5 linked regions of the Oryzias latipes genome follow. The protein of the gene in region 1 interacts with the protein of each later gene in a pairwise test. Links are inferred from orthologs where the notes say so. Each region holds a gene or a part of one and is shown on either strand. Other genes may lie near its edges. The genes, in order: lmo4, itsn1, nfyc, grainyhead-like protein 2 homolog and rbbp8.

Region 1 (4,023 bases):
TGTGGCTCTCATTCATTTCGGACACGTCATTGGTAGCAGAAACAAGCCAGGGACCAGATCTCATTAGATAAAACCCATCAGGACTGAAGGAAATGGAGGGGGGACTATAATTAAAGCATTTAATTGTGTAGAGTCTCTCTCAGATGTTTTCTCTGCCTCCCTCTCCCAGCCATACTTCAGCGTTTTTATCTCTGCACAGATCTCCTGCCTCCATAATCTGCGCTTTAGCTCTTTCACCAAGCATGCTCTCAATACAAGTGGAAAGGTGTATCCACACTTCCTCCCGCTCCAATTTTAATTACGTTATAGTACCATTATGAATGAAGTACCCCATTGACTTCCCACTGCTTTATATGAGGTGGGAGTAAGAGCGCACGGGCGCACTTTAGATCTGGAATCATCTGTGCAGATCTGCTGGCTGCACATCCAAAAACAACTCAAATGGGCGAGATTTTGTACCTTTAAGCAGAAACATTCCCATTCAGCTGAACTGAATGACAGGAGAGGCCAAAGCAGCTGATGAACACTCTTCCTGCTCCCAATAGGGTTCTTTTTTTAAACTTCAACAAGAGAAATACATCTCTTTTCCTGATTGAATTTACATAAAGTCCTGCACGCCATGAGGAAGACTTGTAATATTAGTGTCTGGGATACATAAGCAAAGGGCATTTTTTTTCTTCATTTCGGTGCAACTTTTTTATTTCAATAAAAGTCAACATAACTTCATTTATAATCCAAATGACCCTCGTCTACAAAGGAGGCAGACAGTTGACATAAAAGGGCTGCATCTGATTGGTCAAAGGGCTCCATTTAATTTGTTAAGCGGCCATAAGATTGTTTATGTGTGAACATTTAAAAAGTAACCATTTATCCCTAATTTAGGCTGCCTGTTGCCATATGCGTATAGGTTGATATTGCGATGAGGATACATTTGTGATGCAGGCCTATCTAAATGTCTCACCTACAGAGTGCGTTTGTGTCCTTGGACAGCCCCACAGAAACGGCCCTAACCCCCCCTTCTCACCTGATGTAATCGTTTCTGCAGAGGATCATGCCGCTTTTCGTGTAGCACGACGTGCCGATTTCGCCCAGCTGGGCCTGGCAGCAGGAGCACTTCAGGCAGCGGCTGTGCCAGTAGGTGTCCATGGTGTAGAGGAGGAAGCGGTCTGCGATTTTGCCCCCGCAGCCCGCACACCGCTTCCAGGACAGGGAACCGGCGCCCACCGCCGGCGGCTGGCTGCTGCCTCCAGGATTCACCATGGTCTCTGAAAAAACAAAACAAAAACAAACATCACGTGTTGATACCAGGTATGCAACATCATCCTAGCAGATAATGGCAGAGTTTTACACCACCTTTGTGGAGATTGTTAACTTTGCAGCTGCAGACTCTGTGACCCCCCAGCAAAGAGAAGGAGCTGATCTCATTACACGAACAAGCCATGTTCTGCTATGAGTCATTTAGTGAATTAATCTGCCCTTGATCTCTGCCTGTGTGGCCCCTGCGCGGGGGCATCGCTGCTGATGAATGTCTGTTAACTGATAACACTGTGGGGCCAAAGGAACAATTCTGCTGCCTCTAAAGTGAAAGCAGTGCCTCTGACTGACTGACTGAGCAGCACAGCCGCTCCTGCTTGTTTACCAACACCTGATGCCCCGCGGGCTTCCACCGACCTGCCCGCCATAACTTCACCGCCAAACGGCCGTTCCCTTCCAGACGTTAATACGTGCTCGGACCCCCCACCCCCATCCACCCTCCTCCACCACCATCACCACCACTCCGGGGCAGCAGCGACGCCGGGATATAAAGCCAAATCTTTGTTGAAAGGCAGGTAGGCCAATTAGGGAAGGAGAAGGCGCGGGGAGGGGGCGCGCGCGCGCACAGACAGAGCAGCATTCAGTAAGCCCATTAGCGATGGCTCTTAGGGACGAACCGCGGCGAACCTCCGCGCTGATTACATCTAAAAGCAGATGAAAAAAAAAAAAAAAACACAACAAAACAAAAAGCCGACCTGAAAGTGACTCCACGCACGAACCGGGCGAGCCATCGTCAAGTTTCCAACAGGCGGGGCAGGAGGAGGAGGAGGGGAGGCTTTTTAGATTAAATGGGTAAGTAATTACACGGTCAGGCAATTTGGGCACAGAGACTAAGACATGGAAATGGAAGGGAGAAAAGGCGAGTGCTAAAGGTCCTGAAAGCTGCTTTTCAACCGGAAAATGTAAAGATTATTGCGGGATAATTACACGGCCATGGGTTCAGTGAAAAAACAAGAGTCTCGGGTATCAAATATCACAGCTATCTTCAAAAGAAAACACGCTTTCAGAGGCAAAGTCTAGACTTTGACACACATATACTCACTTCGTTGGAGTTTAATGGCTGAAGTTCGGGTCTGAAGATTGCGTAGGAGAACGGGTAAGCTCCAGCAGTCCCCAAAAAGTCAAGGAAAAAATGTTTTATTTAAAAAAATAAATAAATAAAAAAGTGCGCCGTCGGTGTCCAGCCCCGCGCGGCAGCGAGCTCGCGACTCGTACAGCGGAGCAAATGGAGTTATCAGATAGTATTTCCAGCGGACGGTTCCTGCTTTTCTGAAAGCGATTTGTGGCCGATGACGGACCCAAAGCTGTCCATCGCAGGATGATTAGGTCTCCGAGACAGTAAAGTTCCCCAAAAGAGCAGAGAAGAGCGGCACAAACCGAGATTATGACGCGAATAACGGAGCACAGGAAATACGACGGTGGATCCGCGGGCAGCTTGTTCTACATGTGTCTCTGACAGGAAGAAACCTCCAGTAAAAAACCCTCTTTAGCCGCGTGACGACAAAGCCCTCTCAGCCAATCCGCTGGCAGCTCATTTAAGAACACCGAATCCAGCCAATCAGAGCAGAGAGAGACTTAGCAAGAGACGCACACAAACAATGTTGTTACACTGGCAAAGACAGGACCCCCCCCCCCCCCCCCAACACTTCTTAAAAACTGAATTTAATGTTTCAATACCCAAAATCTAAAATAGTCAAATTCAGAATCAATTTGAACGTCATTTCTTAATCTCGAAATCACTGCCTGGCTGTGATTAGAGCATCATGGGAAGTCTCTGATTATCTGCATCTCCCTGTAGCATCAGCTCCAAGCTGCATGGCAACATCCAGTAAACTGCATTCACCTCACGTCACAGTTTAATTAGATGACATTCAATAACTACTTAGTTTACTGAGAGTGACTCCAACCTCTGGGAACTGGCGGGACAACAGCTGCGCGGTGGCGCCATCGTCTGCCACCCACAGTAATTGCAGGGAGACTTTCTGCTTTGAAAACCCCATTAAAGTCCACAGGTCATTGATTTCAACACTGAATCTGATTTGTCTGAGGGTTTTCTTTACATGTATTTATCTTAACATTAATATCATGGCAAGCATGAGAGATTAATCATGAACTACATGCGAGAAATGTGTTGCATGTGTCACAAGTTGACATGAAAATATGGCTCTTTTTATTGTATTTTTATTTTAGTTTTTTACTTTAGAAACAAGAAAAATAAAATATAATGCAAAAGAGAAGTTATCTTCAAAGAGATTAACCAGGTTTAAGAGTTTTACATGACAAAAAAAAAGAAAAAAATCCATTTGGATATGATACCCCTGGCTTTGGATGTGTAAAGATGATCTTTTTCTTGACTTTAATTGTTTAATTATTCTCGCAGCTCTGAGGAGATTGCTTTGCATCACACTGATTTCCCTTTTGGCAAAGCCAGCGCTGATCCACCTTGGTTTGAGCCGCATTCTCTTGACACTCTCATCAAGCTTGCCTCTTACCAGAACAAAAACATCCACAGAAGATTGCAAAGAATATCTTTTCCACCAAGGAATGATTAATTGATATAAATGATTAAAACAGAGGGAAATTAGAAAATGAATTTGAAAAGAGGCCTCACAGGAAAAGCTTTGTTTGTTCCAGTCCTCTTTTTAATGAGCTTTTCATAACTGGGCAGGAGAAATTACTTCTTGCAAAAATAATTATTGGAAGTTGGAG
Region 2 (3,514 bases), on another chromosome or scaffold:
AGTTTGTCCTCTTTGTTCCCAGGATCTGCACAGAGCTTGGGAAAACTGCCTTTTCCCCACTTCCCTAGGGGCCTCAGGCTCTTTAGCAGCCACATTCTGCTTACAGCATTCACACTTGCAGTAACTCAGATAATGCTTTATATCTAGTTTTTTTTATTAAATCTTGAAATACTGATTTCTCTTTAATATAGAGCAGTCCTATCTGTGGTAAAGTTTCTTAACAGGTACCTTCTTTACTTAGCTTTGCTGTTGGAAAATTCTTAAATGACCTTTTGGCAAGTTTCCATAAATCAGCATCTTTGTTCTCTGTACAATGTAGTCGGTTTAAACTTTCTTTGTAGTCTAGGTTTTGTGCCAAACCTAGATTTACCTTTAACCTGCTAGCCACTGAACACCAACTTTAGCCTCATCTGACTTTTAAGGTTTGGAGGGACAAAAACTACAAAATAAAATGATACCATTATAAAACTTTTATTTGCAACTTTATTAGCAGCATATTTGTAACATAAGGGAGTTGGTTGCTGCATATTGTGCAGAGGAATAAGCTTGGGGTATGGAAACAAGTCTTGCAAAAAATCCATAATTTAATTAAGTCTTATGTTAAATGCAGATGATTTTTTTCTTTGAATTTGAAAGCACTTCTTCAAGTTCCTCACTTGCTCTCTTCTGCCCAGAGAAACTCTCTTAAGACATTTGGATTTGTTAACTTTGCTAGCTGTGGGCTCTTAGTTAGCGATCAGAGCAGTCGCTTCAAGAAGGTAGCAAATATATCTGAGATCTGTGACCAACGTCTTGGCATGTGTCAATAGTAAGTCAAACGACAAACGTGGGGGACAGAATCTGGTGGTTTTCCAAAATAAAACTCCTTTCAGAATCAGAAAATAAAACAGAAATAATGTATGTTAACATTATTTTTGTTTTATTGTGTGCAGGTTGTCACAAAGTTCCTCAAAAGTGTTTGGGACCACTGCTTTAGAACATCATAGCACACATTTAGAGATCTTTAATTTCAGCTCAGCTGTGACCTTGAATGTCTTTGGGAGGTCTATCACATTCAAGATTTTCTCTTAAATATCCAAACAAACTAGTCTGTCAGTGGTCTTTTCCTGGTGTGATACACAATATGTTACCAAACAGCTAAGAGGTTGTTGTAAGACCAGCAAACTGATTGCAGGCTTGAGAACACTTGTTATGCTAAGGAAACACCTGCATGTTACCCATCTTTTATTTAAAAACTGTTTTAAAAAAATCCTTTTTGACCAAGACTGTTAATTTGTTGAATCAGTTGAACAAGAAATCAAATCAAAGTGATTTTTTGTTAATTTTTCCAAATATTTTTAGCTGTCGGTTTCAGGTAATTTCATTTTAGGTTAATGGTTTCTTAAAGAAACTGAGGTGGACAAATAATTGTGTTTTATGTAAAGTGTTTGGCATGTTTTAACTGTAGCTACATGTCAGCGGTGTTCACACAAATCCACTTTCTTTTTGAGTCAAACAATGGGTTATGCAGGGCTAAACCCTGTAACTGTCAGAATGTGTACCTGTGGTGGGAGGGGCCAGTTTGGAGGCATTTGGCTCAGTGGGAGTGGTCTTGCTGGTGCTGGGGCTCAGCAGCTTGACATAATTGGCAGGAAACCAGCCTATCTGTCTCTTTTTCCCTCGAGCCTGCACCCAGAGAAGATTTGTCATTGTGGTTGTTTATTAAATGCACGTCAACAACCAAAGCTGCAATGTGGACAGTTTGTTTTAATCATTACAAACCTAATCGTTGTCTTTTGAAAAAAAAAAAAAAACCTTTACGAATTCTTCAGAGCAGCTGGACTTTTGGTGGTATTGGAGATTTTTCATGTATCATTCCAGTATCTGTTATGGTCCTATCTGCTGTGTGTCTGTGTGTGTGTGTGTGTGTGGTCTGCAGATGTTGCTATTGTTGAAAAGCTGATGCTTTGAAGTGATGAGCACACTTCAGCACATAAGAATATAGACATTCACGTCAGAATCATCAGCTGAAGTACCATAGACTGAGTGGATGGGGCTTTGTTTATTTGTGTCAGTTGTAAATTACACCCCACTTTCTTTGGCTGAGATTTCAAACAGAATAGTAGCTTAATGACAAAATATGTTTCAGACTTGAGGGAAGGTTTCTCCGTTTAGACATACACTCACCGGCACACCTGTCCAACTTCTCATTAAGGCCATTTCTAATCAGCCAATCACACAGCAGCAGCAGAACTCATTACATTTAGGCATTTAGTCACGGTCAAGACAGTCTGCTGCAGTTCAAACTGAGCCTCAGACTGGGGAAAAAAGGTGACTGAAGTGACTGAATGTGGCCAGTGAGCGGCAGTTCAGTGGGCGGAAAGGCCTTGTTGATGCCAGAGGTCAGAGGGGAATGGCCAGACCGGTTCCAGCTGATAGAAAGACAACAGGAACTTAAAGAAGAACTGGTTACTGAGGTCTCCAGAAGAGCATCTCTGAACACACAACACCTCCAACCTTGAAGCAGATGGACTAAAGCAGCAAAAGACCAAACTGGATGCCACTCCTGTCAGCTAAGAACAGGAAACTGAGGCTACAATTCACACAGACTCACCAAAACTGGACCACAGAAGATTGGAAAAACTGTTTCTGGTCTGATGAGTCTCCATTTCTGTTGCAACGTTTGGATTGTAGGGTCAGAAATTGGCGTCAACAACATAAAAGCATGGAGCCATCCTGCCTTGTATAAGCATATAGGGCTGGTGGTGGTGGTAGTATCATGGTGTGGGAGATATTTTCTTGGGTCTCTTTGAGGCTCTTAGTACCAATTGAGGATGGTTCCAACACCACAGCCTCCAGTATTGTTGCTGACCATGTCCATCCCTTTCTGACCACAGTCTCCCATCTTCTGATGGCTACATCCAGACGGATAAAGCGCTAGTCTGGAATCATCTCAGACTGGTTTCTTGAACATGACAATGATTGAATCTCTGCCACCAAGGATTAAGGCAGTTCTGAAGGCAAAAGGGGGTCCAACCCGGTCCTAGCAAGGTGGACCTGATAAAGTGGCCAGTGAGTGACTCCTTTTTAAACCATCTGTACTCACTGTTCAGAATGTGACTTCATTGTCCTTAAAGTAGCATTTGCTGTTCAGGGAGAAGAAATGTTTTCTGAATAAACCTGTTAAGACCAGCAGCTCTGAAGAACAAGTTGACGGCATGTCATGGTGGAGAAGGTCCTTCCTGAACAGAGTTTTTCATATCATTATAACCTCTAAGCTTTTTTCTGCTATTGTGTTCATCCTAATACGTATGGAGTGTACCCTTGTAACAGAAACGTCTCTACTGAAGTTCAGTCTAGTTACCTGCAGCTCACCCTCCCACCAACCCCCTGGATTCTTCTTCCTAATGAGGATCAGCTGTCCCGGAGCCAGTGTCAGCTGCTCTGGCCCTGTTGCAGTGTAGGGGGCGATCACCTGAGCAATCTCTGAAAGAACAAGCAGGAACATCGTGACTGATGAGTTCCAAGATCTATG
Region 3 (4,169 bases), on another chromosome or scaffold:
AGTGTGTGAGGAAGAGCTAGTGAAGGCTTGCCTCTTCATGGTTTGTTCTCAAGCGGCGTCTACCTCTTCTCCCGCTGGTCATATGGGAAAGAATCCACGGGCTGCTCTCTGACAACTGCTCTCTGCTTATTTACAATGTCAAACTAAATGTCTCCCTACGCTCCGCCTTCGAGCCGCTGCTACAGGCTGGCTGCGGAGTGATGCAGGCGGCCAGGCTACACCTCACTGGCTGAGAGAGAGAAGTGCCAGAATCAATGCCGCATGTTGCATCCACATGATTTAAAGTACAAAAGCATACTAGTCAGCCTCCTTGTCTCATGTGTGTACTCAGGCTCACACGCACAACCACACTAATGCACATTTTGTCCTTGCCTCCTTATTTATTCTTATTTGCTTATTGTTATTATTGTTGCTGGTTTACCTGCAAGTATTAAGAAAATTCACAACACTGTTCGGCAAAAATATTTTGATATTCTGCGTGGACATACATTTAAAAGCTGAAATTAAGGAATATTTAAAAATAAATAAATAACTTGACAGAGCCTAAAAGCCCAAAGTTTGAAAAGTAAAAACTGGACGAAAAATAACGGAATTATTTTATCAATAAAAATGTATCAGCTGATGAGAGAGCAGCTGTGGAAGATGGTGGCATTCCTCTATTTGTGGTTAAACACGACGAAGATTACGAGTGAGAGCTAACAAACACACACATTGTTGTCTTGACCCTTCAGACTATGCTTACAGCAACTTCCACAATTCATACGTCATCACAAAACCACACCAGCAATGTCTGACAATGTCCTTCTTGTGCGCTCCACACTGGTTAAATGTGCGCACGTTCGACTCAAAAACATTTACTTTGAAAGACCAAAGAAGGATTCCACTGCTCATGTGCAGAACTCATGATAGTTGATGCCATATTAGCTAGGTACTAGGTTTCCTAGTACTAGAAACGTGTTCATGAACTCTATGTAAAACAGAAAATAAACTCTAGAAAAGTACAAAAGTACAAGGCTAATGCTGTACTTTGCTGCAACTTAAGGTTTTGAAGAACAGAATAGAAAGCAAACCTGCACCATCAATGAAAACCTGAGGGGGAGGGGAACTGGAAGGATGGAGAAGGACAGAGAGGAGAATTGTTTCAGAATAGGAGGGGTGAAATAAATGAAGGGAGGAAGAGGGAACATGACAGACTCAAAAGAAACAGAGCTAAATGTTCCTTTTTGTAGTTTCACATGGAGCATGAAGACAGGGAAAGGTACTTCCAGCAGCCAGTTAAACATGGAGTCGAGATGTAAAAAAAACCAATTAAAAAAACAATAGATATCAAATGTATTAGCAAGTTTCTTCTATGTAGATGAACCAAAAAAAAAAAAAAAGTCATGACATATGCCAAGGTCACAGAACACATTAAACCTTCCCATGACCTCTGCAGCCATACCAGAAACATTTTTGCTTTCGTTGATGCTTTTTCGAGATAAGCATACACCAAAACAGACGGTGAGTTTGATAAACACAGAAACCCTCGCGGTTAGCCATTCAGCCACAAACATGCAAATACATAACAACCTGGACTCAACTGGTAAAGTTAGCTTAAACTACAGGAAAGACCGTTTTTTATTTGTATTTACGCTGATAACAAAACATCAAAAAGCCTCAAATAATTTAGATCAAAGTGGGTATTTATTACGTAAAATGCAGCACCGCTGCACCTAGCAAAAAGTTATTATAGTATTTCAAAAAGTTTTTTATTTATTTTAGATAAATTGTGCCTCTGACATATTTTTTTAGCATTCCTGCAAACATTTTAGAAGTGCAATTTCACAATTTTACCCACCCAGCGAGTGTCAGATATGTTAGCTTAGAATTTCAGACATAATATTCTCATAAGATTCCTGTTATCCTTTGAAACGATGGTAACTTCATGGAAATTGTACCTCAAAGCAAATTAAATAGGCGGGAGACAACGCTAGGTTTTAGTCCCAACAACGCTGCAATAAATTTAAACCACGGCCGCTAAAATATTGGAAATATTAAATGTGATGTAGTGTTAGCTTAAACATCTCGGCTGCCAAAACAGTTAACGGGGAAAGAGGGCAAACAAAGCGCCGATGGTGAACTTTAGAATGGTCATCCGTGCCTTCTCGGTACCGATAGTGAAGTTAGTGTTAGCACCTTGTAGACGGCTAGTCTTACAAATGTGCGTGCAGTTCGTCGTAATATTAATTACTAAATCGCAAACTAGTTCTGTCATCATGTGAAAGTTTGCAAATCTTGGAAGAAACGGACTAACCAATAAAGACAACGTTTGGGTCTGTCCTTCAGACCAATCAAACCTCGGACTAGATTCCACCAATCAAGGTTTGTAAGGCTAAGCTCGTTCTGAAACTGACGCCATTCGGGGTCTGATAGGAATAGCCAGTGTTCAACAAAACGAATGGTAATGAGAACCAAAATGGCGGACACAAAGCAGTGGTTTCCCAACCGCCGATGATACTTTCAGCGGGCCACCAATAAGCGCCTCAGAGAGCGGGGAGGGAAATGGCGCCTGTGTTCATCACCCAAAACAATCGTCTATTGGTCAAGAACAGCAAATGGAAAAAAGGCCAATTAATTGCCGCAATTTCGACCTATCACGAGTGTACACGGCAAACACATCAATGAAATTTAATTTCTTACTTATGCTCTTTTGCGGCTTCGCGGTGAAGTCCAGTGCGGCGTATTATTTATTTTATTTAGCTTGCAAAGGGAAACAAGATGGCTGCTACCTCATACCGGAAAGGGATGAACGTACGAACGCGATGACGTATAGGTCACGACGGCATCATCCTGATACTATAAAATGCAAAAAAAAACTATAAATGCCAAATAAATTATGCAAATCAAACAGGAAATGCAGGAAAAAATGTCAATCTTAAAAATATGAAACTATGTCTTTTTGAACATATGGTAACACTAATGTGATAAGCTACAAATTATGTAATTTTATTGCTGACCAAAGAAAAATAACGTTAATAAGACATAGTTTTTTTTAATTAGGTTTATAAATAATCTAATATTTTATAAAGTCAACAATTAAATTATTTTAATTCAATGTATTTAAATAGATGAAACTATATTTTTTTAGTGTTTATCATAGTTTTTGTGTAATCTTAACAAGGGAAAGTATATAAATATTTAAAAATGTCCACAAACAAAGAAGTTTATTTCCAGTTGAGGAGCCAGTGTGGAACAGAATACATTTATAACCAAACCAACCAAGCAAAAACTTTTATAAAGATATACAACTATCATGCAGATGAGTAATAAATTCATATTTCTATACTGCATGCATATTAGAAACAGATGTGATTACATGGATGCAAATGTTTTCATTTAAATGTGTCTGTGGGTATCTAGACTTACTTGTACTGTTTTTTTACAAGCACGATTTTTATCACACATTTAATTTCATCTGGATACTTTTGATGACATGTGTTTTCAGTACAACAGTAGGAAGCTTTTATATTTAAGAATGCATAAATGGCAAAATTAAATTAAGTTTTACTCTTCACTTTATGAATTTGAAAAATACTTTTCTTTTTGATGGTGAATCTTTTTATAATTTTTCAATGATTTGCATTTTCTGATTTAACTGCTCAAATACACTGCATCATTAAATTTATGATTGCTCAATGTCATGCTAATTTTACAAAACTTTGACTTTTTTCTCTTGCTGTCCAACTAGTTTTCTATGCATAAATTTAGTATTTTTCCTCGTTTTTCTTTTCTTTTTAATCAACAAAACATAAAACGGATAATTCTGAGCTATTATCTGAAAGTACTTTTGCAGTTCATTACATCCCTGCTCAATAAACTAAAATATCTGGCAATCTCAAACTGAAGCAGCATAATAAATCCCATCTATAAAATAGGATGGAATGTCAAGGTAACATTTTTTTGACTAAAAAACACAAATGTGTCGAGCAATCATTTTTTAATTAGGTTTAGGCCAAAATGCACACATAATTTAAAAGTCAAAAATACATTTATTTTCTTTTTACTTAGTAATTTAACAAAAAAAAGACAGTGGTAGAAGATAGTTTATTGTGACAACAACATAGAAAAAAATTGTGACAAATCATTAAAGCAAAAATAAACTGAATACTAAATACATTTAAGTTAAACTG
Region 4 (3,514 bases), on another chromosome or scaffold:
TAGGAGAGACAGCAGTGGAATTTCTAACAAGGTTGTTCAATAGGATTTTAGAGAGTGAGAAGATGCCTGAGGAATGGAGGAGAAGCGTTCTGGTCCCAATCTTTAAGAACAAGGGTGACACGCAGAACTGCAGCAACTATAGAGGAATAAAGTTGATGAGCCACACAATGAAGCTGTGGGAAAGAGTAGTGGAAGCCAGGCTTAGGAAGAAGGTGGAGATTTGTGAGCAGCAGTATGGTTTCATGCCCCGTAAGAGCACCACTGATCCCATTTTTGCTTTGAGAATGTTGATGGAAAAGTACAGAGAAGGTCAGAAGGAGCTGCATTGTGTGTTCGTAGATTTAGAGAAGGCGTATGACAGGGTGCCGAGGGAGGAGCTGTGGTACTGTATGAGGTCGTCTGGAGTGGCAGAAAAGTATGTCAGAGTAGTTCAGGACATGTATGAGAGAAGTATGACGGTGGTGAGATGTGCTGTAGGTCAGACAGAGGAGTTCAAGGTGGAGGTGGGACTACACCAAGGATCAGCTTTGAGTCCTTTTTTGTTTGCTATGCTGATGGACAGGCTGACAGATGAGGTAAGACAGGAATCTCCCTGGACAATGATGTTTGCGGATGACATTGTAATTTGCAGTGAGAGTAGAGAGCAGGTGGAGGAACAGCTAGAGAGGTGGAGGTTTGCTCTGGAAAGAAGAGGTATGAAGGTCAGTCGTAGTAAGACAGAATACATGTGTCTGAACGAGAGGGATCAAGGTAGAAGCGTTAGGTTACAGGGGGCTGAGGTGAAGAAGGTGCAGGAGTTTAAGTACTTGGGGTCAACAGTTCAGTGTGATGGGGAGTGTGGAAAAGAGGTGAAGAGGCGAGTGCAGGCAGGTTGGAGCGGTTGGAGGAAAGTGTCAGGAGTGTTGTGTGACAGAAGAGTGCCAGCAAGACTCAAAGGAAAGGTGTACAAGACAGTGGTGAGACCAGCTCTGCTCTATGGGTTAGAGACGGTAGCAGTGAGACAGAGACAAGAGGCTGAGATGGAGGTAGCGGAGATGAAGATGTTGAGGTTCTCCTTAGGAGTGACCAGGTTAGACAGGATAAGGAACGAGTACATCAGAGGGACGGCTCATGTTGCCTGTGTCAGCGACAAAGTCAGAGAAGCCAGACTGAGATGGTTTGGACATGTTCAGAGGAGGGATAGTGGATATATTGGTAGAAGGATGTTGGAGATGGAGCTGCCTGGCAGGAGGGCAAGAGGACGGCCAAAGAGGAGATACATGGATGTCTTAACAGAGGACATGAAGTTGGCTAATGTTAGGGTAGAAGATGTCCATGATAGAGTGAGGTGGAAAAGGATGATTCGCTGTGGCGACCCCTGATGGGAAAAGCCGAAAGAGAAAGAAGATCTGTGTTGAAGATAAACTCTTTACAGGTGACAAAAGTGTCTGACGTGAAAGTGATAGTTTAACAATAGGTTGTTAAAATTCAGGATTTTTGGAATCTCTTTGAACAATTAAAGATGGAGGCCTCCCATCCTGGAAAACTGACTTTTATTTTATTTTTCTGTCTGCTTCCGATCCCACATTGGTCCTTCTTCAGCTCTCCTACAGTGAGTTATGTGGCCATAAACTACAAACATGTGGATTTCAGTCTTTCTCGTCTCTGGAGAGAAATGATGTTTTCTGGACTCTTTTGCAGGAACCTTTCATCACCTTGTCACAGAAGACCTTGATCTGCGAGTAGGCCCTATGCAGGGGCTTGTTGCTGCGGTTGTTGTAACTGTAGGTGTCGATCTGGATCATGAGCGGGAGACCCTTGACCCCTTTCTGAGAGGAGAAGTCTGTGCTCAGACAGTTGACTGTGATGAAGATCTTCAAAAGAGAGAAAAAGGAAGGAAAAAAAGGTTTAAAATGAGTCTTTACATGCAGCTGCATTTTAAGTCTAAGGATTATGTTCAGGTTCACTTTAGTAAAAACCTGAATCTTGTTAAAGTTTAAAAATGTTTCATTGATTACAGAAGTGAAACTGGTATTTGATATAAAACTAATACTTCCCTAGAAATTCCCCAGAAATCTTTGCAAAACAATAAAAAAACAATGTGCATTAATGCTCATATAGACAACAATGTTCTCTGTAAAATGCTTATATTTATTAGGCTTTTACTTTGGCAAATAGGTGACATCATATCTGCTGTTTCAGAAAAAGAAAAGTAGTGAGCCTGGTGTCCAGATTACATTCAAATCCAGGGCTTGGATTGTCCCGCACTAAATGGTCTTTTAGGAGTTAGGGAGGGAATCTGGATGTAAAAAAAACAGTTTTGGAGCCTCACAGTGTCACACCCTGATCAGATAATCAACTCAAACACCGGCAAAGGTTTCCTAAGCCCTTAAACAGCCACTCAGTCTGAGTCAGAAAGCCACACTGTTACAGGAGAGAGTCTTCACAGCCTTCACACGGACGGACATCATGCTAACTGTTCACAGAGTGCTGTTTCCTGGGGAGGGGGGGTAAAGGTGGCTGATTCTAGGGGCCCAGACTGAGGGGGGGGGGGGGGGGGGGCACATAGGTCCCTAAAGATGATGAAATGATAAAACAGACTAATTGCAGTAAGTCATTAACCAATATATAATTAAAAATATTTTATTTTCAATGTCATGGTAACAATATTATTTTGTCTTGGAAACATGAAGTTCTGCAGCCCCCACCCCAATTTTTATTTTTAAATGTGTCCGAATTTCTACCTTAATCCCTAACAACTAGTCCGGCACTATGTAGTGCCCTGGATTATGAAAGCAAGTCAGACACCACGCTCACTACTTTTTCTTATACGGCGGATAAGGCGTCATCGATTTCACAAAGTTGAAATTTAATTAATATGAGCGTTTTATGACAATTATTTATGAATCCACTGTCTTCTGAAGATAAAAACGTTGATGGTTTATCAAAAAAATATATTTAAATTCATTTTTTTGGCAAAAATTGTTCAGACGCAATGCATAGTGGTTTATATTCGCTGAGCATATTCTAGTGAGCATCGATGCACACTGGTTTTTCACAGAGACTTCTGGGAAATTTCCAGGGCACTCAATTTTGGAATTGTAGATTTGGACAACACTATAAAATGGTGAACGTACTATAGCGTGCACCATGTAGTGATTAGTGAAGGAATTTGGACACAACCCTAGTTTGTGACAGGCAGCGTGAAAATGAAAAAGCATTTCTGTTAAACCATTTTAATTGTCAAATTAAATATTTCTAATTGAATTTAACTACACATTTACTAGAGAACTTTTTGAAAATGAAATGTCTAATACCATTTTCTTCATCATTTTAATTAAGTGACAGAATAAGCGGTGTTGAAAAATAAAAAGCCATTTTGCGGATTGATTTTTTAATTTAATTTTTGAGTCAACAAACGCAGCTTTAATGTGAAAATACAAAAATCATTTCCGGTATAGACTTTTATTTTGAAATATGAGACACATATGCTTCTATGTGTGGTGCCGCTGGCTGTATCCAAGCATTTTAACAG
Region 5 (4,078 bases), on another chromosome or scaffold:
CACTCTCTCCTACCACCACTTTGCAGTCAATAACCTCTCTCAAATGACCTCGTCTACATAGGATGTAGTCCACCTGAGTACTCCTACCTCCACTTCTGTATGTCACTCTATGTTCCTCTCTCTTCTGGAAGTAAGTGTTGACTACAGCCATTTCCATCCTCTTCGCAAAGTCCACCACCATCTGTCCCTCCAGATTCCTTTCCTTCACACCAAACCTGCCCATCACCTCCTCATCACCTCTGTTGCCCTCACCAACATGCCCATTAAAGTCTGCTCCAATAACAACTCTCTCTCCTCTGGGGATACTCTCTATGACCTCATCCAACTCACTCCAGAATCTCTCCTTCACTTCTAACTCACAGCCAACCTGTGGCGCATACCCACTGACTACATTCACCATCACCCCTTCGATTTCTAACTTTAAGCTCATCATCCTGTCTGAGACTCTTTTCACCTCTAGAACACTGTTTACAAACTCCCCCTTCAGAATCACTCCTACCCCGTTTCTCTTCCTATCAACACCATGATAGAACAGTTTGTATCCTCCTCCAATACTACGTGCCTTGCTGCCCTTCCACCTTGTCTCCTGCACACACAGTACATCTACCTTCCTTCTCTCCATCATGTCTGCCAGCTCTCTGCCTTTCCCTGTCATTGTGCCAACGTTAAGAGTCCCTATTCTCAAACCTATGTTCCTGCCTTTTCCCTTCTCTCTCTGGCCACGGGCCCTTCTGCCTCCCCTCTTTCTTCGACCAACAGTAGTCAAATTTCCACCGACACCCTGTAGGTTAACAGCATCGGTGGCGGTCGTTGTTAACCCGGGCCTCGACCGATCCGGTATGTCTAAAGTGTTGTGGATGATTCGCATGGTTATTTTGGCAATTTTTACGCCGGATGCCCTTCCTGACGCAACCCTCTCTATTTATCCGGGCTTGGGACCGGCACAGAGGCAACTGGCTTGCAACCCCTGTGGCTAGCCATTATTAACTCTGTAAAGGCCAATAAAGAATTGAAATGGAATAAATGTTTTCTCCTTAAAACTAAATTATATATTTTTATTGCTGTGGGTAAAACATATTTGTGAAATTTGGCAACATATTTATTTGAATAGTTAAAAAAATAGATTAAGTCCTCATACATCAAACCGAAGTGGTAAAAATAGTTTCCACTAAATTTGATGTTCATCATCAGCGATTCTTTTAACCACCACTCTTTGAACAGCAGGAGGCGCTCGAGCGTCCAGTCTGCTACATTTTCAGGGCCACAAAGAAGAGTTCCCAGCATGCACTTCTTCGGCGCGGAAATTTCAATGGATTTTCAATGCGAGATGAAAGTCTGAGGAGAGAGCTCACGAAGGAACAAGTCTGCCGTGTTTCGGCGTTCAACCAGCTCAGTTTTTGTAAGTACGTTTGTGAAAAGCTGCGTTTAAATTCACCGCGTTGTTTGGAACAAAATAGTGGGTTTGAAAAACTAATACTTGTAAAACTTCTACTGAACTACTAGAAGTTCTATAAATACACTTTTCTATGTACTGGAGGCTGACATGGCGTTTAATAACAAATAAATATTCACGTCCATCTTATTTTTTTCTTTAAATTATGTGGGCTGTTTGCGGAGAGGTGTGAAAGATGAGTGGATCAGGTGACAGCAGTGGGACGATCAAAGCAGCTGATCCCTTTGAGGATCTGTGGCGGCAGCTGGGAGAGTGTCATCATCACGTGACTGGAGGTAAACGACTGCTGGTTATCGGGCAAGGAGTGACACTGATAAACAAGGAATGGATCAGGAAACAAGTATGGATTTTCTTTAGAAAAGACAATTCTAGCTGTATAAAAACACAAGAACAGATTAAGCAGTGTAGTTTTTTTAATTTTTATTTATTTTATTGACCAATTGCAACATCCAGAACAAAAAAAAATGCAACAATTATGTACATATAATGTACATTACAATTCTGAATACAGAAAAAACGTGTTACATCCTTAGGAAGATTTTAATTATTAACAATAATTACAAAAAGATTAAGCAGTGTAGTTTTTTTTTAGATTAGCAGTGTAGTGCAGATCCGGCTTTTACCGGCCATGACGTCATCTGCGTGAGCCTGAAATCTCCTGCATTTTTAAAACAAAGTTAAAAAACAAACACTAAATTTTATTTTCAGTGTTATTACAATATGTTTTCAATAAAAATAATTATTAGTGTACAAATAAATGGGTGATTTTTACCTGTACTTTAGCAGAAATGTACACTTCACCTATAAAACTGTAGAAGAAGCATTGTTTGCTTTTGTTCAGAGCTAAAGGAAGGATAAACTAAAACACACGGAGCCAGAATTGAATCAAAAGGTAACAAGTCCTTAGTAAATGAGTAAAAATGTGATGCTGGTTTGTTTGCATTCAATCAATGGCATAAAAATGCAAACAAAAAAAAAAGGAATTGGCAACTGAAAGCATTACATGCAATTTGGTAATTTACTGCAGAAACTCTTAAACAAAATAAGAATAAATAATAATAACTTTTTCTATGGGAATAACTTTTTCCCATAGAGCTGGAAGCAAAGGTGAGCCGGCTGAAAAAGGACCGCTGCCTGTAAGTCCTGATGGATTTTTGTTTTAAGGAACGCCAATAATCATAACGCATTCCTTCATAGTTAAGGAATGGCAGTCAAAGTGACGTTTGTTTGTTGCAGAGATGCTCAGAGACTTGAGGTGTTTTACAACCGTAACCAGCATCTGAAGGAGGAGAACAAAACCCTGCACGACACCATCCACCTCCTAGAGGAAAGGTAACATCCTCCAGCGTTTGTCACACTCTGGACCAACAGAACCGGCTACGTTTGATCATCCGGTTTTGCTCAATCAACAGAGGGTGCTCCGGTCTGGGTGTTGGGGTCACCAAAGGGGGGGTAGTTTGCTAAAGAGAGGCAAGAAAAACAAAAGTTTTGTTGTTCTTTGTTTTTCAGGCTCAGAGCAGGAGAGTGCGACCGTTGTGTTGTCTTGGAGGAAAAGCTGAAGAGCAGCCTGGATCAGAATCTCAGACTTCTTGATGAACTGAGTGAGTCCCAGAAGGAGCTCCTCTCAAAAATAAAAACACGTGCACCATCTTTTTAAAATAAAATCAAAAGAGGATGTGGGAGGTGGATCGGCTTTCAGTTGCAGCCAATCATGTCTGGAGGGGAAACGGTTGCTGCGGCTTTTCCCTTTTTGTTTGATGAAGCGCTGATGGAGGTGGAGGACAGCCGTCTTGGAATGATGGTGCTGAGAAACTTTTAACTTCTTATTCAGGAATTGAAAGAAACAACCTGCAGGATGAAAACAGGAAACTCCGTGCTGAGATACAAAAGCTGAAAGCATCGTGGTGAGTTTTCTGTAAATCTTCTTCCTTTCAGGGAAAATGTTGCCTCCAACCTTCCCAAAACGTACCTAAATTTGCATTTACCTAGTACCCAGTCAAAATGACTTTTGGGCATTTGGGGCCAAAGTCTCTTATGGGTCCAAAAAAAAGTAACAAACCAAAACACACGTGTGTGGAAGATGTAGATTTTGAATGGCGTTAGCGTAGCAAGTTTGCCAAAATGGCGTTTCCCTGTTGCTCACATAGTTTTTACTGGAATATTGTGAAAATACACGAGTCGACAGCTCAGGCTGAACAAAAACAATGTCTGATTGAACATATTAGGAATGCGAGGGTGGTTAACAAAAAACCTCTGTTGCTAAGGAAATCCCAAAAAATTATTTTTGCCTGTTCTTCTAAACGTGACTCAAACATGTTCGTCACCCCCAGGCGACAAAAAATTAAAATGGTTGCTATGGAGGCAAAACCAACCGAAGGCTCCTTTTTTTTTTTTAGTTTTCATGAATTTGTTATGTGGCTCTGACTGGGGTGGCAGAGGGAGAGTAAGGGGGGGGGGGGGGGGGTAGCAGCCGCTCAGCCATCATAGGATGGCGAGGGCAGAGGCGTGTAGCGTCTGCTGCTCACGCCTTCATTTTATTTCAATATCTAAAAATGTTTTCCTCATTAATGGTAACATTTAAATAAATAAAAATATTTTCTCTAAAATTTATCACAGAAACGTGTC

The links.
Region 2: the proteins of lmo4 (region 1) and itsn1 interact in binary tests that used the Homo sapiens proteins (3 or more experiments, as listed by UniProt). The link is inferred for Oryzias latipes from reciprocal best matches to the Homo sapiens genes LMO4 and ITSN1.
Region 3: the proteins of lmo4 (region 1) and nfyc interact in binary tests that used the Homo sapiens proteins (3 or more experiments, as listed by UniProt). The link is inferred for Oryzias latipes from reciprocal best matches to the Homo sapiens genes LMO4 and NFYC.
Region 4: the proteins of lmo4 (region 1) and grainyhead-like protein 2 homolog interact in binary tests that used the Homo sapiens proteins (3 or more experiments, as listed by UniProt). The two-hybrid records come from large-scale screens. The link is inferred for Oryzias latipes from reciprocal best matches to the Homo sapiens genes LMO4 and GRHL2.
Region 5: the proteins of lmo4 (region 1) and rbbp8 interact in binary tests that used the Homo sapiens proteins (3 or more experiments, as listed by UniProt). The link is inferred for Oryzias latipes from reciprocal best matches to the Homo sapiens genes LMO4 and RBBP8.

What each region holds. Positions count from the first base shown.
Region 1 is NC_019862.2:4,585,736-4,589,758, reverse strand, and holds the start of lmo4 (LIM domain transcription factor LMO4), read right to left. Parts: upstream 2,802-4,023; 5' UTR 2,357-2,801; intron 1,389-2,356; 5' UTR 1,354-1,388; intron 1,266-1,353; 5' UTR 1,261-1,265; coding exon 1,025-1,260; intron 1-1,024. UniProt on the Homo sapiens protein: Transcription cofactor. Plays a role in establishing motor neuron identity, in concert with MNX1, acting, at least in part, to disrupt LDB1-LHX3 complexes thereby negatively modulating interneuron genes in motor neurons.
Region 2 is NC_019873.2:615,966-619,479, reverse strand, and holds part of itsn1 (intersectin-1), read right to left. Parts: intron 3,466-3,514; coding exon 3,344-3,465; intron 1,666-3,343; coding exon 1,542-1,665; intron 1-1,541. UniProt on the Homo sapiens protein: Adapter protein that provides a link between the endocytic membrane traffic and the actin assembly machinery. Acts as a guanine nucleotide exchange factor (GEF) for CDC42, and thereby stimulates actin nucleation mediated by WASL and the ARP2/3 complex.
Region 3 is NC_019869.2:22,272,682-22,276,850, reverse strand, and holds the start of nfyc (nuclear transcription factor Y subunit gamma), read right to left. Parts: upstream 2,809-4,169; 5' UTR 2,680-2,808; intron 2,314-2,679; exon of another isoform or gene 2,294-2,313; intron 146-2,293; exon of another isoform or gene 32-145; intron 1-31. UniProt on the Homo sapiens protein: Component of the sequence-specific heterotrimeric transcription factor (NF-Y) which specifically recognizes a 5'-CCAAT-3' box motif found in the promoters of its target genes.
Region 4 is NC_019869.2:7,142,540-7,146,053, forward strand, and holds part of grainyhead-like protein 2 homolog, read right to left. Parts: intron 1,854-3,514; coding exon 1,695-1,853; intron 1-1,694. UniProt on the Homo sapiens protein: Transcription factor playing an important role in primary neurulation and in epithelial development. Binds directly to the consensus DNA sequence 5'-AACCGGTT-3' acting as an activator and repressor on distinct target genes.
Region 5 is NC_019878.2:11,812,789-11,816,866, forward strand, and holds the start of rbbp8 (DNA endonuclease RBBP8), read left to right. Parts: upstream 1-1,271; 5' UTR 1,272-1,399; intron 1,400-1,604; 5' UTR 1,605-1,628; coding exon 1,629-1,728; intron 1,729-2,546; coding exon 2,547-2,589; intron 2,590-2,689; coding exon 2,690-2,785; intron 2,786-2,962; coding exon 2,963-3,054; intron 3,055-3,284; coding exon 3,285-3,357; intron 3,358-4,078. UniProt on the Homo sapiens protein: Endonuclease that cooperates with the MRE11-RAD50-NBN (MRN) complex in DNA-end resection, the first step of double-strand break (DSB) repair through the homologous recombination (HR) pathway.